2 linked regions of the Astyanax mexicanus genome follow. The protein of the gene in region 2 interacts with the protein of the main gene of each other region in a pairwise test. Links are inferred from orthologs where the notes say so. Each region holds a gene or a part of one and is shown on either strand. Other genes may lie near its edges.

The links.
Region 1: the proteins of npat (region 2) and histone H4 transcription factor interact in a two-hybrid assay, tested with the Homo sapiens proteins (2 studies listed by BioGRID). The link is inferred for Astyanax mexicanus from reciprocal best matches to the Homo sapiens genes NPAT and HINFP.

The regions. Positions count from the first base shown.
Region 1 is NC_064408.1:15,312,396-15,325,651, forward strand, and holds the start of histone H4 transcription factor, read right to left. Parts: upstream 6,682-13,256; 5' UTR 6,572-6,681; intron 5,162-6,571; 5' UTR 5,124-5,161; coding exon 4,961-5,123; intron 4,591-4,960; coding exon 4,361-4,590; intron 3,122-4,360; coding exon 3,022-3,121; intron 2,865-3,021; coding exon 2,712-2,864; intron 1-2,711. Other genes in the region: dpagt1 (UDP-N-acetylglucosamine--dolichyl-phosphate N-acetylglucosaminephosphotransferase), read right to left, coding at 8,855-8,920, 9,785-9,937, 10,063-10,150, 10,732-10,920, 11,133-11,217, 11,435-11,581, 11,876-12,089, 12,572-12,692. UniProt on the Homo sapiens protein: Transcriptional repressor that binds to the consensus sequence 5'-CGGACGTT-3' and to the RB1 promoter. Transcriptional activator that promotes histone H4 gene transcription at the G1/S phase transition in conjunction with NPAT.
Region 2 is NC_064425.1:15,325,051-15,337,935, forward strand, and holds the start of npat (protein NPAT), read right to left. Parts: upstream 4,972-12,885; 5' UTR 4,780-4,971; coding exon 4,743-4,779; intron 3,506-4,742; coding exon 3,387-3,505; intron 3,196-3,386; coding exon 3,135-3,195; intron 3,056-3,134; coding exon 2,977-3,055; intron 2,855-2,976; coding exon 2,814-2,854; intron 2,701-2,813; coding exon 2,491-2,700; intron 2,293-2,490; coding exon 2,217-2,292; intron 834-2,216; coding exon 719-833; intron 471-718; coding exon 379-470; intron 266-378; coding exon 181-265; intron 39-180; coding exon 1-38. Other genes in the region: hif1al (hypoxia inducible factor 1 subunit alpha, like), read left to right, coding at 6,095-6,114, 11,144-11,334, 11,435-11,589. UniProt on the Homo sapiens protein: Required for progression through the G1 and S phases of the cell cycle and for S phase entry. Activates transcription of the histone H2A, histone H2B, histone H3 and histone H4 genes in conjunction with MIZF.

The sequences.
Region 1 (13,256 bases), on a different chromosome or scaffold from region 2:
ACACTGCTTTTGGATAACTTTATGCCACTCCTGGTGCAAATTTTCAAGCAGTTCAGCTTGGTTTGATGGCTTGTGATCATCAATTTGATAAAATCAAAGAAAATAATTTTTAAGTGGTCTCTTATTTTTCAGAGCTGTATATTAATATATATTACTACATGCAGTTATTTTATCACATTATCACATTTTTATCATATTTACTTAACAAGAACAAGGCACATTGACATTAAAATTATTTAAAACCAACATTCAGAACCTCTAATTAACAATCTTGTATAACTGGAATGACCAGTGAAATCTACACAACTATTTGGTTTAAATGTTTAATTAGGTTCATATTTTCCACACCGTATCTGTACACGTACTGTCCCTTTAAAACATACGGCAATGTGTTTAGTCATATGACTCATCATGTGATCCATCCAGCCAGTCTACAACATGAAAGCAACATGAATAATTACTCAAATACCAAGCAAACTCTGCCAATCAAGCAGCTTGTACCACAGGAAAATCGTCTTTCTAATCATTCATTAAAATAAACATTCACTAATTTTAATGCAGGTAAAATGGTCATCATCCAGAACTAGCGAGTTCTCTAAATAAAATCACATCCATCACATTAACTATACTATACTTCCATACAGAAGTTGAGTAATCTTACATTATTTGCCCAACAATCTCACAACAGGATACCCTATATTGTCAAAAGTACTGTGACACACCTAATAATCAAGGAATTTTGGTGTTTTATTTAGTCCAATAGCCACAGGTGTATAAAAAAAAACCAAGCACCTAGCACCATGCAGTCTGCCTATACTTTAAAAGAGAGGCATTGCTACAACAAATCAGTTTGTGAAATTTCCTCAAAGATATTCCTCCATCATCTCTAAATAAATTGTGTTTAGAACCCACAGTTACTAAGCCATGAAGTGTCCCACCATGTGAAGCTACAGAGCGGTGTGTCTGTGAGCTGAGGAACACAGCGCATGGGAGTAATCACCAAAACTTTGCCTCAGGAACTTTGTGGCATGCATTTCCATAGCTAAGCAGCTGCATTGCAAAGCACAATGCCTAGCCTGGGTGGAGTGGTGTAAAGCACCCTGCCATTGGACTGTGGAGTGTAAACACGTCTGTCTGGCAGCCTGATGGACGAGTCTGGGTTTGGTGAATAAACAGATATAATAAACAGCCTGACTGTATTGTACAGACTGTAAAATTAGCTGGAGGAGGAATAATGCTATAGGATTGTTTTAAAATAAAGGGAAGCCTTAATGACTAACAAACCTAAACATTTTTGGTACCTGAATGTGGCCAACATTGTGAAAATAGTTTGGGGGAAGAGGCTTTTCTATTTTAGTGCCTAATGAAAGTTTACAAAGACATGGGTGTGCGGTTTAGGTGCGGAAGAACTTGACTTGTCTGCACAGACTCTGGCATCTCATGTAGGGCTGCAATGATTGGTCGATTACATAATCGGCAATGTTGATTTAAATTTATCGACTACAAATTTCAGTGTCAACTAACTGTTAATAGTACTGTTAACAGTACTGCATTACACAAGTGCTGAGGACAGAAGTGCAATGGTAGATGGGTAAATGGCTCACTCGCACAGTTTACAATCAACTTAGTCTGCGTCTCCAAAAGTGCCCAAACACATAGGATTACATATTTAATCACTAAATAATCAATCCTCTCCATGTCCATGCCTGAACATTTAAATGCCTTTTAAATCTCATGTTCAGCTGTTTCTATTGCTTTTAGAGCTTTTAACTGTTGTCTAATCGACTAATCAAAAAAATAATCAGATTAGTCGACTTCCAAAATAATCATTTGTTGCAGCCCTAATCTCATGATACGATAAAAACACGACCATGGCAGCAGTAATATCACAATACTGTGATTCTCAATATATTGCAATACAATTCTTTACGATACTTCACTGCATCTGTGTATCTTAACAGGACAAATACTCCTAAACAGGCAAATAAAAGGAATTATGGATATATTGGTGTCAGTTTCACAGAATTTGACATCCAATATTCTTCATCGCAGGTTTATCCTACCCAGGTTTAGTGTCCTCATGTGGAGGAATGAAGCAGCAACCTTAGTAAGCCAATGTTTCTATAAAAACATCAATATTTGATGCTGTGTGTCAATCAAAGAATCAATATTTTGTCCCACCCCTAATTTAACCTTATTGAACACCACTGGGGTACCGTAAACTAGAATGGGGACTGCAAGGCCTTCTTTTCCTTGTATAGCATCATCAGAGTCTGACCTCACAAATGATCTTCTGCATAAATGAGCAAATCTGCATCAGCATCTGACACGCTCTAAAACTGTTAAAAATCCTTCAACAAAAAAGTGGAAGCTATTATAGTTATAAAGGGGGACACTCCATATTAATGCCTATGGATTTAAAATATGATGTCATAAAAGCTACTATCCATATGGTGTATATTACATACATTATATTCACAGGATTTAATGTTTTAACTTAGGAGTCAATATAGTTTTATATGGTGTGTGTGAAAAAGAGAGAGAGAGAGAGAGAGAGAGAGATAGAAAGAGAAGTAATAAAAAAAAAAAGATTATGCTATAAAAATGCGTATGAGGCAATACGTTACTAGGCAAAAGTTAATTATAAAAAGACAGCTGCTGCTATCTCACACATTATATCAGTTCAGTGAACCCATTCGACCTTTCCTCACCCTCAATGGAGGTCTGGCGTCGGATATGGTCGAAGAATTTTGTGTTGTTGGCAAACATTCCGCCACAGGTTGGACACGCCACCAGCTTCTCCTGAGTGTGACTGCGCATGTGTTCCCGTAACTTAAACCGGCCCTTAAACGAGGCCTCGCAATCTAATCAGATAAAAGAAACACAACAAATATGATTAGACCTTAATCTTTCAGTTCATGGGTTATATGGAAGACTTCTTATGGCACCACAATAACGAAAAGAAAACATACATTAATTATTTTTTTAATAGTTATATTGTTGTGAATTATAACCACATACCTTTCCAGCCACAGAACAATATGCTCTCCTCGTTGGCCTCCAAACAATGTGCATGCATCTCTACATGCCTGTAGAACCACTCTGGGTTGTCCATGTTAGTCTGTAAAAAAAACTTTATTACCATTTAACCATGACGTCTCAAAATAGCAAACAATTTCCATAAACAAACAATCTTACAATTCACAGGAACATATTTCAAGTCAAGACAAGTCAAGTAGTTTTATTGTCAATACTGCATATGTACAGGACATACAGAGAATTGAAATTACGTTACTCTCCTTCCCAATTTTACAGCAGGTCCAGATAATAGATATAATAAAAGAGAATGGGAGACACTATGTGTACAATACAGCAGGGACACAAATAGACATACATGAGACAAGAACAAGGTGCAGTAGTGTGGGGGAGAAATAGATATATAAATATAAATAAAAAAAAGAAATAGATATATAATATAAAAGAGTGGGAGACACTATATGTACAATACAACAAGACACAATAAACATACGTAAGACGGAAGACAATAGTGCAATATTGATGGTGATTGAGATGGAATGACAGTATAAATAATATATAACAGTAGTGCAAATGGTATCTGGTATATAGCTTAAGGCTGGTAAAGTGAATGAGTGCGTAAAGTTCCTAATCTAGTTAAGGATTAACAGTAACACACTTGAAAGTCCAGACGACACAAAGGTCGTTGTCTTTTTTACATTGTGTAGATTTGATCCGATTAGTTTTGTTTCACACTGCAGTTTAGAGAGCAGACTAAAGAGCTTGACCACATCCTGTCGTCATCATCTACTTGGGCGGAGTCTCTTTACACTTTATACTAATTGATTGGCAATTGATTTGCTTTGCCAGGTGTTGTGTGAATTCTAGCTTTCTGTCAGCATTCGATTTTTCTTTGCGTACACCCCTTCACCCCACAGCAGAATGAGTGTAAAATATTGTCCTCAGATTCCTTTTATTTCTGTTTATAAGTAAGAGTTAATCTACTGAAATTAATACCCAGTTTAAGCGTTTGTGTTCATACTGTTGACTCAAATTTCAAATTGTCAAATTTCGGCACAACATAAATTCTTTTTCCTTGTTAAAAGTTTGTTAAAAGTTTGAGTCTGTCTGACTCAACCTCCTGAAATTGATCTAAAATTCTCGATCATCTAGAAAAGTGCTTTCACACTGCTCTTCTGGTCAGACGAATTCTGGGCCCTTGGTCCAGACTGTGCTTGCACACCCGTTTACATCTTCTACTTTGGTTGGAAACGAACTGAAAAGTGCAAAAGTGCAGACCAAACAAGCTAGGTGTAAAAGCCCCTGTACACACAGAGTGTTTTACCTCACAGTGTTCCCACAGGCAGAGGAAGCTCTCCTGGGTCTCAGGGATAATGTTGCGGTTTTGGAGGCCAACCGAACAGTTTCCCATTTCTGGATGGCCTTTGAGAACGGCTAAGCCCCACTGCTTCAGCTTGGTGTGGTAGCAGTGGAAAAACATGTGCCTCAGCAACTCTCCAACCAGCTCCACAGAGCAGAAACCACAGTCCCGCCAAAGACAGGTGAGAAGCTCTTCTGCAAAATTCACAAAAAATGCATCAGTAAATAACCCACACCAATTTAGGGTACAGATACAGTGGATTGCAAAAGTCTTCATACCCCTTAAACATTTTCAAAAATGTTCATCTTACAACCACAAACTTAAATGTATTTTATTGAGATTTTAAGTGATAGACTAACACAAAATACTACATAAGTGTGAAGTGGAACGGAAATAATACATGGATTTAATAAAAATTAATCAAATAAAAATCTGAAAAGTGTAATGTGCAAAAGTATTCAGCCTTTATCAATACTTTGTGGAGCCACCATTTACTGCAATTACAGCTGCAAGTCTTTTGGAGTTTGTCAGCAGCCCGCCCTGGCTACAATAAAGCGATCTTACCTGTTGCATCAGGGCATTCGCTCTCTATAGCTGTGTAATGTTGTTCCACATGCTGACAGTACTCCTCCATCCCGTCAAACGTCTCCTGACACGTGCCCCACTCACACGCAAGCTCCAGCGTGAACTCCTCACGGCGCGGCGCACGCTTACTCACAGGAGCCATAGTGCGGGACTAACTGAATGTTAATCTTGGCCAAGTGTCTGAAACACAAAAAGGCAACACACGCTTAAAAAACACAGTAAAGAAAGTCATCACTTCAAAGCAGTAATGGTTTTATTGGTTAATTGCTTTCAGACATATAGACACAAACACACACACACACACATGCATACATAAAGGTGTCATAAGTATTCACATTTAAAAATACTTCTGTAGAAGCTAAAGTATCAACAAAAGCTTTTTACTGAAGTAAAAGTACTGGTTTTAAAACTATATAAAAGGTACTACTTTAAAAGTACAGAAAATTAGACCACCCTACAGGGGCCTATACTGCACAACCAAACTCCTCAAAACACATTTTTTCTAAAAGCCATTATCACTACAATGTAAAAGTAGCTAAATATGGGATGCACTAGGCTCTTTGTTTCAGCTGCATATTTGCCTATTGGAAATTAATGCATTTTAGTACAATGCAATGTTCTCCTCCACCAGTCTTACATACTGCTTTTGGATAACTTTTTGCCACTCCTCATGCAAAAATTCAAGCAGATCAGCTTGGTTTAATGGCTTGTGATCATCCATCTCCCCCTTGATTATATTCCAGAGGTTTTCAATGTGGTAAAATCAAAGAAACTCATCGTTTTTAAGTGGTCTCTTACTTTTTTCAGAGCTGTGTATTAAAGAAGCTTAGTTAGGACTTTTCACTAGAGGTCATTTGAGTTTCTGCCACAGACATTAAATCACCCATCTCAGTTGGGTTTAGCTCAGGGGACTGTGAAAGCCAAAAGTTTTTTTTTACTTGTTTACTACGCAACTCCATTTTATAATATTTATCTACACCTGCCTGATTTTGTTTAAATAATTATTGCACACTTTCTGTAAATCCTATAAACTTCATTTCACTTCTTAAATATCACTGTGTTCGTCTGCTATATGATATAATTAACTTCTTTTAAATTGCTGATCCGAACAACCAATGCTTTATAAAGAAAAAACATAAATATTATCAGGGCTGCTCAAACTTTTTCACACCACTGTAACCTATCTAACTTCTTGCTTAGGTAGTTAAAGTTGTCTGATTAAAGCGTTGCTTAGATTAAAACACAGCGAAATATAAACAATTAAACTAGCTAACAGTCAGATAACTTATTCTAGAATTAATTAGATTCATGTATACTCATTTATACACGTTAAGAGTCACAGTAAAGCCTCGGAGAGACAGTCTGCTGAGTTAGTAATCTCTAATTACTCAGAGAAACAGTCTTTAAACCTGAGCTGATAGCCGGTTAGCATGAGCCTCCAGCACAGCTCTCAGTCTGAGTCTGTTCTGCGGGTTTACAGTCTTCAGGTTAAGGGCAGAGCTCTACCTCCACTTTGGGCTGTGCTCCAGTGTACAAACTGTGTACAATAAGGTGTTTAAACCGGATTAAATCGGGAGAAATGTGACCCACCTCGCGCCGCTGGTCTCCGCATCTCCTCTACGCTCCTGTTTCCCACAAAAACAAACGAATCGCCGGAGCTCCGCCTCTCCGGCCCGCAGCCAATCAGAGCATCCCGCTCATTCCGCCAGAGACGGGCCTCCCCCTGAACACTCAGATCCTCTACAGGGTTCCGCTCCCGTACACAGCTCACTGTTTACTATTCACCAGCATATACAGGTATGTAATTAAAAAATAAACAAAAACTACTTCCCCACTACGTCCCCACTCTCTAACTGTAAAGTTTACCATGAAATATAATTATTAAAATACTTCCGAGATTTGTCTCCAAATCTCATCTATATAAAATTATTTTCATAATAATACTTAAAATACACATTTTAGTTGTGTCCTGGGTTTCACTCAGTCCTGTTACCATAACAAATTACCCCAGCTGAAAGATCTGGTACATTCTACAAGTGTCTGCATGCTATTAGCATAACCTTTAGCCCTTTAGCTATTTTTCATGTTTTTGCTAATTCTATGCTAAAAACTCAGTCCTGTTACATATACCATAAAAGGTAACATAAATGGTTTATAAGTTAGTTTATTAATGTTTATTAATTAGGTGGCAAATATATTAAAACCCAATAATAAGCAGTTAATATATAACATAAATAGAAATGGCGACAGTGAGCTGAAAATTAGCAAAGTAGTAATTCCACACTCGTTAATAGTCAAACCACAGCTCTTTCTAGATACTGATTTTACTTTCTGCCATATTAATATATTTATAAGTATGTTTAAGTATTTACCATAAATTAAATGACTAAGTTGCCACTGTTGCTTTTTTAACTGATGTGTTTTAACTGCTTATCAATGGTTTTAAGGCATTTACAACCTAAGCAATTATCTAATTTAGAAATAATCTAATTTACAAACCATTTATAAATCAGTTTAAAAATATTTAACTTATATATATATATATATATATATATATATATATATATATATATATATATATATATATATATATATCGTCGCTGTCCAATGAAAAACACTTATCTCCATTTTTGTCGATTTTTAGATTTCTACATAATCTGAACAGACAAACTGTCCTTTACACTTTGCCAAAATTTCTTGATGAACGGACCAATAGAAACTCTTCAAAATGACCTGAAATAAACTCTTTTTACATTGACTTCTATTGAAAGTTTACAAGTTTTTTTCTCTCTCCTGTAAAGTTGCTGTTTTGGAGATAAGTGTTTTTCATTGGACAGCGACGATATATACCCATAATTTGTCCATTTTAAATAATTAGGAAAATGTGTGTATTTGTACCAGCACAAGCTAAAATTACATGATAAACATTACTATTAATAGCTGCAGTTCAGGAAAATTTGTAGATATTTTATATATTTTATATTGTGTAAAATACTTACCTCAACATTAATTAGCTAGCAGTATAAGAAACAAACAAATTAAATAAATTTAGACGATAAGTTCAGTTTAAAAACATTACATTTTATTCTGAGCTCTCTATTAGGAGAGTTGACAATACTTTCTGATACATTTCTGGTCCAGTGTCAAACTGATACGTGTCCATCACAGGCTCAGTTTTACATTGGTTGAAGAAAAAAAAGAAAAATATCTCTATATAGCTTTGTGCTGCTTGGCATTTAGGCTACCAGGCGACTCAAAAATCTCTGTCCCTGCACAGATAAAACCTCGAAAACTACCCAGATTCCCAAACTACATTCCATTAAACCAGAATTTAGAAATGGGAAATAATGTTTTACATTTACGTCACCTACAGGTTGTTTACTAAGTATAAAAGTTTACTGCAGGCATAAAAACTGTAAAGGTAAAGTATTCAGTGGTCCTACCTTTTTATTTACTTGTTTAAACTGTTACATTTTCCGGGCAGCTTTTCTCTGAAATAGCAGTGTTTCTACTCAAGTATGATTCTTCAGTATTCCTTCTTCCACAGCACTACAGAGTTCTGATAGTCAGGTATTCGTGTATTGCATTAAAACCGGTCAATTGGTTTATTTTAAACATATTTTACTTTGATTGCTGCCCTGAAGCCCAAGAGGACAGTAAATCTCAGATGAACCGATGACACTAAAAGGCTTGCAGAAGTGTTAACACAGTAGTTCAACTGTACAGAACTGTAAACATTATCCTTATATGAGTGGGACATGAGAGGCAGACTTGCAGTCTTTCAGAATCATCCCTAATCAGTTGTTAGAAGCACATTTAACGGGAGGTTGTAGTCCCTGCCCTTCTGTCGTCCGAGTGTTCTGTGCTTTAGAGTTAGACATCATAGAACAGTCGAACCAGGTGATACCGGATTCCGAAAGCAATCACACTCCCCAAAATCTGTGAATGACAGGAGAAAAAAAAAAACATTTAACTAAATCAAGAAAACACAATAGGTAGAAAGGTGTGAAAGCAAACATGAAATCTAAAAAGAGGTGAAGCAGTGAAGTTCACTTCAATATTTAGTGTATCCGCTAGATGTACATCCATAACATAGGTTATCAGAGCACTGCTATATAGAAATCTGACAGGGAGAGACGAGTCAAGTTTGAATTAATTTTGACATCCAACTCAAATAAATTAAACTAAGCGTTTAGTTTAATTTAGCATTAGTTTAAAACCTCTTCACAAACTGTCTGTTTTCCAGCTGAAAGACATGAATTAAGGATACAATGAGACTAAATTGTAGGTAGGTGAGGTAGGTATTGTGGAATAAAAATTAAAATTTCAAGGCTTTAATCCAAAAGAGCAATTATTATCTAAAAATAAAAACAGTAAAATAAAATAAAGAATAAAATAGACCAATAGACATACATATAAATAAGAAAATTAGAGAAAGTCAAATAAGTGATAAATGTATCATTACTATCCAAGCCCTGAACAGCTCATGTTATTTAGGCCAGAAACATTCATTGTAAACACAAAGGCTCAGCCAAAAAAACAGGGCCCTGCTGTACAGGACTGCTACACTGCTAAACCTAGTCTGTGTATTTTAAAGTGTCTGCATTCACGTCATCGCTTGATATAAACAAACACACATAAATGTCTATAACTATGATCTGACTAATCTGACTGTGATACAATGGTCCCTTTGGTCTCAAGTTTGGGTATAAAATATTGAGATTCAGTTCAACCCTGTACTATGAGAATAGCTTAAGATTAAATCAGCTCATTAAATACAAAGGCTTAGTTGTGCACTCATACCTGTATTAAGAGCATGATGGCTGTGAGGTTTCTCTCATGTGTGGGTCCCAGTATCTTCAGCACCAGGTTAATTAGAGTCATGTTATTGCACTCAATAAACTCATCCCCCTCCTGACCCCTGCGCACATCCAGCAGCCATAATGCTTCTGCCACCTGCAGGACAAAACATGGAAATGTAGCTTTTTGTTGAAATAATCATTTAGCTTTAGTTAAGACTTATGCATCTCTATACTGTTAATATTATGCTCATTAACTGTTGATACTATATCATACTTTACCTTTATCACAAGCTGTCCTAATTTGCCAAGGTCCTTTGGTTTGAACTTTGAGTAGCTCATGCCAAGCTTTCCAGTATCTGGCTGCAATCTGTGGAAGGATGCATTACATTTGCATATTAACACCACCTTACCTGTCTAGGTAAGAACATGATGATTGTAAATTCTAGGTCATATTTAGCTACAAGTGAATCATAAAAGTGCAGAGTCTCAAAAATGTGCATAAGAATAACAACTTTTGCACAATTTTGACTGATGTGTGTAAAAATAATGTCTATCCAGGAAGGTGAATGTGAGCATCAATTTGCTGCAACTTGTAATGAACAATTTACTCATTATTATTTAGAGTAACTTTAAGTTTAGGATGCAATCAGTGAAGACTAATAGGTTAAATAACTATTTTGTATCAATAGTAATTAATAGATTAAATATGAGGTGATTATGAACTCAGAATTATGAAGATATTAAATTGTATTTTTTCCCTAACAGATACATAAAATGTTAATGGCATTATTGTGTTACTGTTCCCAAAGGGTCATTTTATGCATGATTAATCTGGATAATTTTTACTATGATATATTACTATGACATTAATGAAACAGAGCTTTCGATTAGTTTTGTAGCAATTTGGATTAACTAAATGATTTATTAGAAATGTATAAACAGGACTACCTGGGCAAGCGATGTCTAGGACAGGGGACTATGTGGAAGAGCTGTGGCAGAGAGTAGATGAAGTTTACGACTTGTGGGATGAAGAAGAGCAGCATGGTCTTGCTGAAATGACCGAGAATGCCCACCACAGCGAACGTCATCCCGGCAAAGTAACAGAATGTGTCTCCTACAAACACTGAAGATGGGTACCTAACAAATGGGCAAGAGCGAGAGAGCTCTTAATGTATGGAAGAAGTCCTGTTGACATGCTTTGTGTTAGCACATTCAGATGAGAGACACTGTGGCAGTTTTCTGTTTAGTCTTACTCTTCTACAACAAACAGGGAGTTATGCTGTGTCATTATCACTTCAATGAGGTTATTATAATAATGTATTCTCAATAGATATGTGCATCAAACAAACCAGTTGTGGTAGAAGAGGGCCAGCGTGGTGAAAAAGAAAGGGATCATGAAGTACAAAGAGAAAACATGGTCATCTCTGTAGTCTCCTGCAATGGAAAAGTGGATGTTAGTTAAAAAATTTTTTAAATGTGTTTTATTTAAAACATACTGGTCATTAATGAGTTTGTGGGTTTTATAATAAATAAATTGTATCAGACTGCAGAGAAGATGCTTTTTCCCATTGCAGGAGAGATTGTGCATAAAAGAAACTCTAGCTCATGATCTGCCAACTTTCATGTTCTCATAAATAGATCCTCAACTCACCATTGAGTTCCAGTATATTGAAGATAATGATGGAGCCAGAGATGAAGAGGGCTTGTCCCGACTCAATGCCATTGATGCCAGCAAGGATGTTGATGGCATTCGTGCAGAACACAGCTAGCATGCCCATATATACATAATACAGGATACCTGGGGGACCAAAAAAGGGCAAAAAGCAGTCTTAGATACTCACAAAACCTCTAATCTTAACAGCTCTTTCAGGGTTTAAATATACTTAATATTAGTCCAATATATCAGACATTTGTATACAATGTATGCTGTGAGACTCTTATCCAATCCCAGGTATACATAATTGGGGTTCAGAAATAATAAACAGAATAAAATAGAACTGAATCATTAATAATATATTATATAAGAACCTAAACTAATTCACAATTGAATTTTTATTAGGCTTTTAATTTATTACTCCTCAGTCCAACTAACCCAGATCCAGATGCATCCCTAGCAGGGCTCGGAACGGTTTGGGCACCACTATGAGGGTGTTGCCAAAGTTGGTAAAGTAGACCATGAGCAGAGGCAGGGAGGCCATGGTGGGCAGCAGCAGCTTGTGCCTCCATCGCAAGTTCAATACATCATCAGCAAAACCAAGAAAGATCATGCAGCAGATGGCAAGCAAGGCTCCAATCAGCTGCACAAACTGCATCAAAAAGAAATTCTTTAAAAATATATTAAAGCACAGGCACAAACTACTTTTATATGCAATAAAATGTACTCAAACATTTTGTAGATTTTTTTTATCTAAGGATACTAAAAGTGTTTCCCCACCCTCTTTGCCAAAACAATACTAGAAAGACTTTACACTAAATACTGCTTTAAAGATTTGATTGCATTAGGTCACATAAATCCAGGTACCAAGTAGGATTCTTATTTTTGTCACTTCAACTCCTTCTCAAATGTGTTGTAAAATACATAAAGTACAATTTCTGTAGTTTCTAGAATATAAAATGGCTGATTATTCTGAGCTCTTTTTAAATACCTTCCCATACTTATCTGTATCCAGTTTTCCACAAGTCTGTAAGTTCTGTTTGTTCGCTCACTGGGTGAAAGGTGGGCAACACAGGCCAACTGTGGGCAGCTCTGCTTTAAAACTGTAGTCAGACATTTTGTTCAAGCTCTTACCTCATTGTGTGGGAAACTGCGACACTGCTCCCCCACAAAGCAACCGAGGAAAGGCACTGGGATAAAGAGGAAGAGGATGATGAGGAAGACCGTGCCACTGATCACTCCTTGGGACTCTGGCCTAAAATAATAAAACATAAGATAAAATAAGATTAATCTGTGCAAACACTAATCATCTACTAAAACTTAGTGTGACCATATTTTCTCTTTTTCTGCCCTGGATTTCTGAATATTGTAGAATGTTTGAGATTTCACAGTTATTTCAATCCACATTTGATTCTACAGTCACCTAGCACACACTCGATATGCATGTATGTATGTTTTTAAAAACATGCTTAACACGGGATGTCTAAAATGTTCAATAAAGTGTTCAATAAACACTTTTAAACTAGTTTTGTTATTGCTTTTTCTTTGGTGTTCAGTATTCAGCCTTTGGCCAAATGTTTCATTTTGGTAGGTTTTGGCCAAAAATCTTGACTTTTTTTCAAACTGTATTAATATTATACACAGCTTAAGCTTAACATAATGTCCACCTTGTTTCCATATAGGAGCACTCTGTAACTGTATAATTACCATCTGTAGATGGTCTGCAGATGGACTGTAGACCACCTGTTTTTCTGTATACATTATTATCCACCTTTTACCCTGTTCATCAATGGTCAGGAGACAGGACCCTAAAGGACCA
Region 2 (12,885 bases):
ATGTCTTGGATGGCATCATCAGTCATATGGATTTCTCCCTGTTAATAAAAGCAACAACAAATTCACCATTTCACTTTTTCTGCAGTCCTGTTTGGCACAGACACACCAATTTACTCATAATTGCCAATGTTTTAGGTTATATTCCATTTATATCAAGAAACAATAGGGACACTGGTTTACCTGCAGACCCAGTATTTCATCTATCGACTGCTCCTGCTCCACTGCGCTGCAAGCTGCCTTCGATATCTGGGGGCTGTTATCACTGCTAACATGAAAACTGGTTTTAGAGTTTAGATTTGCAGCAAAATAATGATTACAATATGCTTTTTAAAAAATGCATTCATATTAATAAATATTTTTCCTTTTTTTTTATTTTACCTTGCCAAGATTTTGTTGATATTCTCAGCTAGTTTTTCTTGCAAGGATCTGTCATTGAGAATTTTTTCTCGTGCATTTTCAATCACCATTTGCTGTTAGAAGAAAAAACTAATTCAGCCACACAATTACACAATACAATCACACAATGATTACACGTAAACTTGTTTACATCTAAAAATTAAAATGATGATTTTATAAGATTTTCTGATGAATTCTTATTCTTCAATGTTAATACACAATTATTTCAAGTTACTAATCCACAAAGCCTATCCTTGAAGTGTTTTCTAAAATGACAAACTCTGGCAATAGCATAAATCCAAAAAAAATTATGAAAGCTCACAGATAAGTTCTCGGTCACTGCCTCCTGGCTCTGTGTTTCCACACTGAGGGTGCTGGGAACTGCAGAGCTTCTACTAGTTCCACTCTGGCCTCCACCCCTTCGCCTAGGTGAGTCACTGAAATAGCACAAACAAAACAGTTTTTTGTCAAGACTTTTTCGTGTGTTGTTAACCACAGTATTAATAGTAGCTGAGTATTATTATGGGCCAAGTTATGCAGACTCCAGTATCTGTACTCATATAATATTAAGTATGATTAGAGACTCTAATTTTTGTAACTCACTGTACTTTGTTTCTGGTCACTCGTTGGTTGCTAAGTTACAGTTGGTGAAAATGCTGTAGCAAAGCTTTTAACATGTACTTCCCAGAGAGAACACATTACTCCAATACTGGCTTTACTCCATTGGCTCCCAATTGTTTTTATAATACAGTTTATACTTGTGCTTTTAGTTTATAAGTCTCTGCATGAATTAGCGCCCAGTTATTTAGCATAGTTGCTTGTGCTTTATATTCTGGCACTTGATCCCCAAGACAAGGCTGAAACTGAGGGGGGGGCCGAGCATCTGCTGCGGGTGCCCCAAAACTGTGGAATGAGCTGCCGCTGCAGATTCGATTGGCACCCACTTTATTGTGTTTTAAATCCAGTTTTAAACCTCATTACTACACCATGGCTTTCATGTAATTGTTTTTTTTTATTAACTGTTTTAATAGTACTGTATTTTAATGTTTGCATTTGTGCAGCACTTTGGTCAACGTATGTTGTGTAAAATGTAAGAATATCATAATTATATTGAATGATATGGCCAATATTTGTAAGCCGAAAAAAGACCAAGTGATGCCATTGTTCTACCGATTTGTCCTACCTATCGATACATGCTTCCCAAAGGTACTGCGCATGCACTGACCTAGACAATTGAATTATTTATTGTGTTTTTTATTTATAATTAATCTGTTTTAGGGGGGTGTATGTGCATTAAACAACCTGGACACACTGTCATTGCACAAAAGTGTACATGGAAACTAAACATTACAATTATTATCATAAATATAAATATAAAAGCAGATTGTAATGAGCTATATTTGCCATAACTTTGCCAGGATACAACAATGTATGCAATCTAATAAATCTAATAACGTACATCTACTGGAATTTCACGGGGTACATGCCCTAAAATAATGCTTCTTTTGAATTTTTACAGTTAAATATACATTAGGGCAGCACGGTTCGACAAGGTAGGACAATTCGACAGAACACCGGCCGCACTGCTACAATTGGCTGATACTGGCTGTGCTACTTTAAAATCCATTTATTTAAGCTACCTTTTATATATTTTTATGTTTGGTCAAAGGTCCAAAAGTCCAAAGGTTACAGTGGGGTGTCCAGCATCTTTGTAAGTTATAAATGTGTATATCAGCATCGGCAGTTATATACATATGTAATATCGGCATCAGCCTAGAATTCCCACATCAGTGCATCCCTAATGAAGAGGTTTCTCATACCATTTCCTGCGTGCTGGAGAGAGAGGTCCTGGGGTAAATCTTTGATCAGGCAGTATTATTTGTAAAGTTGAGTCTCCTGTGAAGAACCGGAACAACCATACAGAATAAGAGGAGCAGAACAATCTGAAGCATTTAATAAATAAATTACATCCTTTGCGGTTGGATGTAATTTATGGATGCCATGAACAAAGGACAGCACAGGTTTGATCCATCAAAGATATAATTTAAAAGTAAAGTCACTGGATAATAAAATCAAAAATTTGTTCTGCCTTACCTGGTTGAGAGAGGCTTAGGGTTGAGGGTCTGGTCTGCTGGGAAGTGTAGCAAACTGGGGTGGAGTGTCCAAGCATGCCCTGAGGAGCTGCGATTGGACTGGCAACACAGTTTCTAGGAGTCGATACTGACAGACCCTCTGTGCTAGAAGTCTGAGATGTGGACAGATTTCTCTGACATCGCCTGTTCTGAATGCTGTTCTGGGTTCGGACTGTTAACAAAACAACATTTCTTAATATTGACTTAAAACATTTCAGAGAAAACAACAAGCAGCTCATTTTATCTGTACAGTTTTTAAGAGCCAAATACAGTCATACAACTTACGTCTCTGTATTTGTTGAACAGCAGGAGAGTTTTGCATCGATCTGCAAACATACACATAACAGAGATTAACAGAGAATTATCAAGGAGCAGTTGATATCAGACATTATAGAGATTAGTCTGAACAAAACAAAACATAAAAAGAAACAGCCTGTCTTTGACTCACTTTATCTGGTTTAGTGTAAAATCCAGCTTTTTCCATAAAGATGTCATCATGGCTGGTATCTGATTCTCCTGACATGTTTCTGTGAGAAACACAAACCTAATTCAACGCCTACAAATTTATAACATTACATAATATTGTATAGCCTGTAGAGTACCTACCTTTCGCTCTAGCAGCAACATATTCATTTAAAATCGTGGTCAGGTTTTTTCCAAAAAGAGACTGCAAAAATAAGATGGCCAGATAAGAATAAAATCAAAGCAATGAAAAGACAAAGTCATACGGGATGTCTTGACAACAGTAACATTAGTTTACAGCTACATTTCCAGCCAGCAGAGCCATACTGACCAATTTATGCAATGTTTCTGGTTATGAATTAAAAAAAACAAACAAATTGAACGTATTGTACGTACAAACACGCAGGCAGGGATAGCTCCATCATCAGAGCTGTGTTCAGCATATTCCCTCAAATTAGGACTTTCCAGTATAAATGCTCGACTTGTGGAACTCAGTCCTTCCTGCTGAAGGTATCCTGCAAGAAACAAGAGACAATCTCTAACCTTAGCCACATTTAAAACACAGCAATGCAAAGTGTACGGTTCTAAAAATATACATCATAATATAGGTCATTCTTAATTTCATTCGAATTTTATTGATATGTAAATAACCGCGCATTAATAGAGGAGGGTAACATGGGAAAAATACTACATCACAACATATAAAGACATTTCCATTAGGAGTGTGCCATATCGTACTGTACGCAATAATATCGTCAACATTTTTGAATATCATGAACGATATTATACCTTGAAATATAGTACCATATCACCCACCCCTAATTGTGACATCAGGGTACTACATTTTTTTCTGTTTTTAGCAAAAGAAAAAAATCCCACTGTTTTCATTTCCCATTATATATCTACTAGAGACAGATTATATCTGTCCAGTATTATTCATTTTACTTTAAACCTGGATATATGGAGATACTTAGAGTGCATTATTATTATTAGTATCATGACTTCTGTTACAAATCTGATTCAATGCTTATTTTTTAATGTCTCAAGTAGGAGTGTGCCATATCATTTCATATGCAATAATACATTTTAATTTTCATTTTGTTGCTGTAGTGTTTTCTGAAAATATTCTTTTTACTTTAGTGTTTTATCATATTGCCAAGATTATCGTAATATTATTTTAGGGCCATATCGCCCACCCCTAATTTCCGCAATACACAGAATTTATCAATTTATCAGACACAGACAAAATGTTTCAGCAGTGTCAGATTCTGCTATTATGCTATTAAAATGCTCTTTCATCCACAGTACAGTGATCTTATTTAATTTCTGCTGGACATCATCCAATTAAACAGGATTGTAAACAATATCTTTGATTAATAGATGAGATGTACAGTTGGGTCGGTGTTCTGATTGTGTTACTGATGATGCCCTCGATATGCTTATTGTCGATATGATAAGAAGATTTATCCCGATACGATACAATGTTGATATACTGTCCAGCTCTATGGTTTTATTAGCTTGCAACTTGCGAATGCCATGATTGTGATCTGGTAAGGTCATGCATTGGACAACATATTGCAAGTTCCAACAGTTTCTAACCCCACTAATTCGCTGGTTTAAAGGCTGGTTGCTGATAAACACAGCCAGTTAGCTAGCTAGCTTAGCTACCCTTTCTAATGCAGCTATAGTAACCTAGACGAGGCGTGTAACCTAGCGAGGTTTAACTATTGCTAAAGGTCTGTCTGAACTTACCGAGTACGAGTCTCGCCACATCTGAAGGTAGCAGCATGTTTATCTACTAATTACGCAGCTATCGTGTGCTATTAATTATCTGGAAAATAAGACTATACCATTAACAACCGTTCTGTAACTACAGTTGATACTAAAACACATTTTATTGTTTATTTATCATTAAAGATTAAGCGAGCTCGAAGAGTCCATAAAGCGAAAAGGCGCGGAAAGGCTTCGCTCACCCGGATGTTGTAGTAGTGCACAGACACAACAAAAGGGGAAATGTAGTTTTTTTTAACAATGAGTCTTTTTTTGTATGGTTGTTTTTTTTTTTGCAGCTGGATATTTTATAATAACATTGTAAATATGGATAAATGTGATCTGAGATTTCTTCGAATTCAGGAGACGCTATAGTTATATTTTTTCAAGGAACTGTGTTCTTTAATCACAGACTTATTGTTGCCTAATACAAAAAACACAATTTAATTATTAACCTATCATAAACTCATAAAACAGAATTACGACTATAAAGGTGGATGTTTGTCTATTTCAAACTTTTGAAGAATTAGAAAAATGGTCTTCTATTAATTAAAGTAAACTGAAAGTAAAAAAAAAACATACTATCTTGCCATCTACTAGACTGCTGTCCATGCACATGTACATTCTTCTGTTCTCAGTTAGCAAACATATTTATAATAATAATTATTATTTTTGTTTATAAATGTGTTTATATTCCCAAAACAAAACATTTACATAAAATGCATATGGGGTTTAAGATAATTCCAGGAAAGATTTTATTATTATCTATATCACGTGGGCCTATTTTAGTCCTACGTATGAAATGCTTCCAATATATATATTGTATATTTTTAATGACCAACTTATTAGTACTACCCCTATCACTAATGATGCCCCAACATCAGGTGTGGGAAGACTAGCACATGCTTCCTCCGATACATATACATATATACAAATTCAACATAAACAATATCATAAATTCTTAAATATCTTAAATATTCAATTTTATATGAATCATTTTTCTTTTTTTATGTTTGTTTGTATTTTTGTAATGATTGTTATCTGAACTTTGTTTGTGTTTTCTTCTTTTAAAAAAAAAATATATGTACGTAGTGATGAAATACTGTGCCAACGTCCATTCACATAAAAGAAAGTTCGTGAGTGACTTTTATTTTGATAGGCGGCCCGAGCGCTTCCATTCTCCTTAAGCGCGTCCTCCTCCTCCTCCTCCGTCTATCGAGATAAACAACTTGAAGGCGACGCTCAGATCCAGCTGGAGCTAACGGCTAGAAACCGTCCTCGGTATTAGCCGCTGAACACGGAATATTGAAATTCGGTTCCCAAACGGGGTCAGGATGGAGTCCTCGCCTAAAAGGTGAGAGTGTAAACCTTTAATTCAACTCTTATTTACAGCATGGCTGTGTTATTTTGTGGATATGGCGAGAGAAAGTGCCTCTTTTGTAATACAGTTAGGCTTAGCTTAACTCGGGAAGCTCATTAAAGCTAACAGGCCAGCCTAGCCTAGCTTAGCTCACATAGCGCTAACTAGCAGTCTCTGCACAGCCCTGCAGTGTGCTGCTCCTGCTGCCGGTGTTTTGTAGACTGTGTTCTTCTATGTTAAATCTAGCCTAGCTAAACATGTCTCGTGTTAAAAGTGAACAAGAAGGTGTATAGCTAGCTACTAAAGTGATTATGATATTTAGCTAGCTGTGAATTGGGTTATTTAAGCAAATTGGGGACACTAACCTAGAAAAAAAGCGAGAGTGTGGAATGGGGTGTTGAGCTAAGAGTGTATAGCTGAAAACAAAGCAGCAGCAAGGAGACTGCGAAAAGAAACCTATACAGCTGACTGCCCTAGTTAACTACCTCACCTAGCTATCTAAGTAAGATAAATGACTGATAAAATTGCTTTAAAATACAGCAGGCATTTAAATAAAATATACCTATAAATAACACCCAACTTACCTACATAGCAACATAAGTGTTAAAGTATCAAGATGGGTAAATATAATATTAGAGAATAAAATTAGGGACGTCATTTTTATCATATTTTCCAAATATTAAGTTAGGTAAACACGTGGTGATCAATTAATGAACCGTGTCTAGTTAAATGTTATTTTGCTCCATTGGTACTAGCTATATGGGCTGCCTGCTTTCTTCCATGTGCACACGACTTCGTGTTTGGACGCCTTACACATCTCCCCAAATAATAAATAGTAAATAAATACTTTTAACATCTGAACTCACTAGTTAGTTAACTAGGTAACCTATAATTTTTTTAACTAACCTAACCTACATAAGTGCTAAAGTATTAAGATAGGTATGTTATAAAATATAATTTGGAACATACGGTAACGTATTGATGAATTGAGTCTTAACATTAAAATTCTGCAGAACGTGCTAGCTATTCCTGATTTTTCTTAGCTAGCTACATGACTAAATCATGAAGAATCAAGGTAGAAAAATAATATTTATGGAGTTGATTCAGGCATATTCAATATATTTAAGCAGTTGATTACCTAAAAGTTCAGCTAACTAAACTATATTGAGCTATAGATAGTTGAGATATGAAGTTGTCTAAATGTTTTCCCTTTCTTCTCTGTGCACAAAAGTGTAGTATCTTTCTGGAGTAATAAGGACATTTAAATAGTTAGAACTATTAGAACTGATCAACACAAATATTTTGATGTTTCAGTATAAACATATTTTGTTTAGTAGGGCAACTATGATGTCTTGCATTATTATGCTCTCGTGGGTGGGGGTTGGAGGTGTGTTTACTGGCCGATATGGGCCCGTTGTACTCCAGTGATGACGCTGTTCCAGAGTACATGGTGTTCCCTTCATACAAACCGCTGCAGCTTTGTTGTGCGCAGTCTACTGGCTGCAGACTGTTGAACCTCTAACACATTTGATCACCCCCCCCCCACACAATTGTGCTCATCCGCTTTGCACGACATGGGATCCAGTCCAAGAAGTGTTCAACACATATAAGCGTGAAAACAGAGAACAAACGCTCCTGACAGGAAGATTGAGTGTTGAATCTTTGAGGAGTTTGATTCTCCCACTTAGACACAGGGCCCTCAGCAGTGATTGCTGCCAGATGAAGGGCTTGGACACTGTGTTCCTGAACTGAAGACATCCTTTTAAACCACTTAGTACTGAACAAGCTTTGGAGATGACCCATTTGGCCAATCTCACATTAAGTGTCATCTAGTTTATCATTGTCTTTGAGTTTTGTTGTACTTAATGTTGATAATACTAATCGTGAAAAGTTCTAATCTTTAGAATATCTTTCTCAATTATTTGTTTGGGATTTCCAATGTAGTTTTCTATATATGGGCTGTATATAGATAGTATGTATTTATTTATTTATTATTATTTTTTGTACATGCTTGAACCCTTTAGTTATTTAGCTGTTTTTGGCTTCTAGGATTTTGCTAGTTTAGTAAGAATTTTCCCAGACAGAGGGCAAGTCTAGTCTTGGACTGCACATCATTTTGAATGGAGATTTGCCATTGAAAAGAAAATATAGTCAACGAATAGGCTTAATCTAAAGTGTTTATTATTTCTGATAAAGTTCAGAAATTACATCAGTAGGTTTCGGAAAATCTAATCCCAGCTCGAATGAAATGGCTCATATTATTTGGTATTGTTGTTGTATGTTTCTAAGCAATTAGGGCACTACCATTGTTTGTGAGCTGAAGGCCTCACACATTTAAATGAAGCCTGTTTATAAGTAGTTCTGCAGGTATATTCTGTTTCAATGATCTCCTCCTTCCCTGAGGCCACTTGGCTTAGCTGTGCTTTACGGAGGACTGGGTCAATAAAGTTCGTCCTGTGTAATTTATAGCCACCTCTGTCCCTCTGAAGAGTTCCCTGGAGCTATTTTAGAACATGGTTAACATTTTAGACTGAGAATAGCACAAGGGCAGCACAATGGACTATTAGTTAATCATTGAAATGTTAGCTTTTGTAATTAATACATCACTTCTTTACTGTGGTTTGTGAATTTCTTGGCTTCTTATTCTGATTTAAGGTTTAAGGTTAATCTAGGATTGATTTGTCAAATTGGTTTGTAATATTTCCCTATGAGTGACAATAATTCAGCCATTGCACAGGATATCCTATCCTGTTCACGTTCTTCTGAATTTGTTTATGAAGTTATGTCTTCATAAGATCGCAGTACAAGATAGCAAGCTACATCCTAGGCAGGAAATGCAGCAGTTGGTAAGCTGATTTGAGAGTCCCTAAGTTGTCTATTATTGAAAAATACCACTTTCAAAAGGTTCCTTTTTTACGTCCCACAATGGAATTTGGATTGTTGGTGTTATTAGTTGATGAATTTTGTGTTATGTTACATTTTGTTCTTCTTAATTCCCACATGTCCGCAGCTAGAAATCGTACAGTATTGTGATTTTTGTAACTGATATAGTAAAGCACAGAAAGATAAAAGTGCTGATGAGCTCTATGATGCTACTTCTTTTGTTATTGTTGATGTGTGGTTCAGCCATTTTTGGATCTGCTCTGGGAGTTGTTGAGGCTCTCATAGTTTAAATTGTCCTACCTGGTCCATGAGAATAGACCAAAAAAATCAGAAGCTATTAACACCTTCAAATCAACAATGTCTTCTCATCCACAAACAAAACATTTTGGTGTAGGTACTTAATGAACCAAAAAGAGTCTCACTAATTTGATGAAAATGGTGTGACCTGTTAAAAACGGAAAATGCATTTTATATGGGCTCCTAAAAATGTGGTAATTTTGTGTAAATTTATAAAGCTTTTACTGACGTCTGGTGGGTGTTTTTGGGCCCCCTGTTGTGTTTTTTTTTGCATTCAAGGGCCTCAGCACTTCTTGCTGCTGGAATGTTGAGATGTTTATTTGGAAAAGGAATTAGATGCTTATTGGTTTGAGAGGTTGTTTCGGTTGTTTGCTTGATGGCAAGCTGGTGCTAATGGTTTTTTTAACGTTACTTAGCAAAAACTGCAGAGAACTACCCAAAGAGAACCACCAAGATGACGATGCCAATTACTTGGATGTCTATAAAAATCTTTGCTATTTCTCAATTTATGACATACCTGAAATGTCATTGTAGAAGTATGTCTGAAATGTTCTTTTAATTATTGCCTTGTATGACAAGGGAACAAACATTTCTTGAATTGTGTAACAGCTTTTTCTCTTCATAATAATCCCCAGTGAAACTTGTTTCAGGCTTGGATGTACTTTTACACGCCTATAAAAACAAGATGCAAACTGCCCTCAACTGGGAACGTGCTGTACACGTGGCTAACATTTAGAATAGAGACCAGACCCTCTGTATTTTGTAATCAGAATAAGAGAACATGACTCCTCTATAAACATGGCTGTTTGAGCCCTGGAGCTTGTTTAGGGTTGAGCTGGAATTTCAGGAAGGCTTGTAGGGGTCATAGTTGAATCTTCCGGGGAAGAAAGGACTTGAGAATAGGCTCTGAGGTCAGAACAGCATGAGCCCCCGCCAATCTGCCTGAGGCATGTGGGGGAAGGGACAGAGGAGATGGAGGCTGTTTTCCTCAGTAAGATGAGCTGATTTGGCCTTCTTGTGTTGACCAATCTTTTTCACATCTACAGCAATGTAACATCAGGATTCTTGTGAGAAAAATGTTCAGAGAAATCCAGGAACCCAGGAAAACAAATGGTTGTGGCTTCGTTCTTCATTGTGTGGTATTTTGTTTTTGTGGTACATTTGTTGTGAAGAACAAGATTTTGCTCATGGATGGATTTGTGTAAAAAAGACAAAACATTTTTTTTATTGCTTTTGCGAGTTCCTAGTAACACTCTAGAGCACATTTCACCAATTTGGATTTCATAATTTAATCCGATATTTGTGCTAAAGGGGATTCATTTGTATTGGCCTTTTTCATGGCTTTTTATGACTGATTTTTGTTTTTTTAAATAACTTTATATTTAAGTGTATATAAAATCCAACTGTATTTCACAGATGCTCTATAGGTTAACATCTGAATTTGATTTAATTTCCAAGGCTAGTGTGTGTGTGTGGAAAGGTTTGGTTTCTGGAAAGATGACGCTTAAATTATGCCATAGAATCTTTGCAGTTCAAGGAGCACCATAACTACTTTTATTTTTTCTCATGTGACCTAATCTGTTGCAGTTTAACAAGGAGTTGGTGAAATATTTACTCGGATACACAGTTAGCTATTTACTTTACAAATGTACAATGTTTTTATGGTGTTGCATATAAATTGTTGTACTTTTAACATATGTAAGTTCTCTAAAATGACTCAGTATTCATGTTGGCCAGCCAGGCCCTTTTCTATTGATGTTGGGATGATGTTTTTTTTTTTTTTGTGTCTGTCTCAACTTGAACTTTCTTTAAGTCAAGCTTATTTTGTCCCTCTCCTTGCCAGGCCGAGCTCTGACCTGCGGAAGGTGCGTTCGCGTGATGCGGCACGCTGCAGACGAAGTCAGGAGACTGAGGTGTTTTACGAACTTGCCCACTCCCTGCCCCTCGCGCGCCGGGTCACCTCCCACCTCGACAAAGCCGGCATCATGAGAGTGACCCTCAGCTACCTGCGTATGCGCCAACTCCTCTGCTCCTGTAAGGCTAATCCTCAAACATTACATTATCTTTTTCTAAGTATCGTGTGAGTTTTTTGTATTAGCTAAACTGCTGTTCTATTAACATGCTTAATTTGCAGCAACAACCAAAGTGGAGCAAGGCACTGAGGAAGAACAGGATCCTACTGATGCGTTCTACCAGCAGGCACTGTCTGGTTTTGTTCTGGTCCTGACTGAAGAAGGAGACATGATCTTCCTCTCGGAGAACGTCAGCAAGTACATCGGCCTTGCTCAGGTTAGCACAGCTCTTTGGTTAAAAATGCTCTTTTGTGGAATGTATACGACTTTGGAGGTAACGTGATGAGATGCATTTGTTTTCCCACTTATATAAATACTTTAAGTAAACACAGGGGCCGCACGAGGCCTGCCCTTCTGTGTCTTAAACTGGCTCACATTTCTGTGCGTGCAAGCAAACTTGGAGCGCTTCCCGGACTACTGAGATCACATTCTCAACTCACTGAGGCCAAGGACACTCTTTCAAAAAGTTTGGCTGCACCCTATTGCTGTTCAGAAGGATGTGTTGGATGAACTTCAGAGTTACATGAGGGTGACGGCTAGAGTGACACATAGGATATAGTGGGGGGCCTTTCACTTGAGTGGTGATGGAGCATAATAGTTTTTGAAACCCAATCACATGGCCTACATTCATTTCAGATCAGGCTGACAGACTAATCATGTGTGTTGCTGAGTGAAGCTGACTAAGGGTGTTTTCACACCTGCACCTTTAGTCTAGTTTAGTCCAGTTATCGGACTCTGTTAGTTTTTGCTGGTAAACTAATCCGATAATGGGTTCATTTAAATGATTTTTCTTATGCTTTTTTATGAGGGGACAGCACTTTTAGTTTTAAATGTTACCTGATTCGGACCAGAGCAAACCAAATATATATGTTAAAACATCCTGAAACTCATTCATATAATTTTTCCTTTGGGATCTGCTCCATTCACACACAAGGCCCTTGATTATTGTTTTGCCTGGATACCCAAGTTTATACTTGCTTTAAAATCCTGTTGCATTCTATTTCTGAATATTGTAAGAAACCTTTTGCTCTACTGGGTATTCTCTCTCTTGCTCTCTCTCTCCCTCTCCCTCTCTCACTATGCAAGTGTTTTACCATGTCTCTCTAGAATCACGTACATAATACATTTGTATGATATTTTCACTCAAGACATATTTGTTTGTAAAAATCATAGCATTGTGTAGTCTTTCCATGTCTGTGTTCTACTGTTTTATGAGTGTCTGTTACCTCTGGGTAATTTCCCAGTATTTTCCCATGATTTCTTCTGCAGAATAATTGCTGCATCAGCTTTAACAGGATTTGCCAGGACTTAACACTTGCCAGTTCAATTAAGGATTTAAAAATTCTGTGTAAAGGTTTTTCTTGGAAAGGAGATTAAGCAGAAGTGGGTGATATGGCAACATTGTAATTTTGCAATATGCAAAGAGTAGAATTTTATTGCTTGAAAATGTGTATTATAGATTTGTTTAAGGTTTTACGTAGCAGGAGGGCAAATGGAAAGCCATAGTACTGTA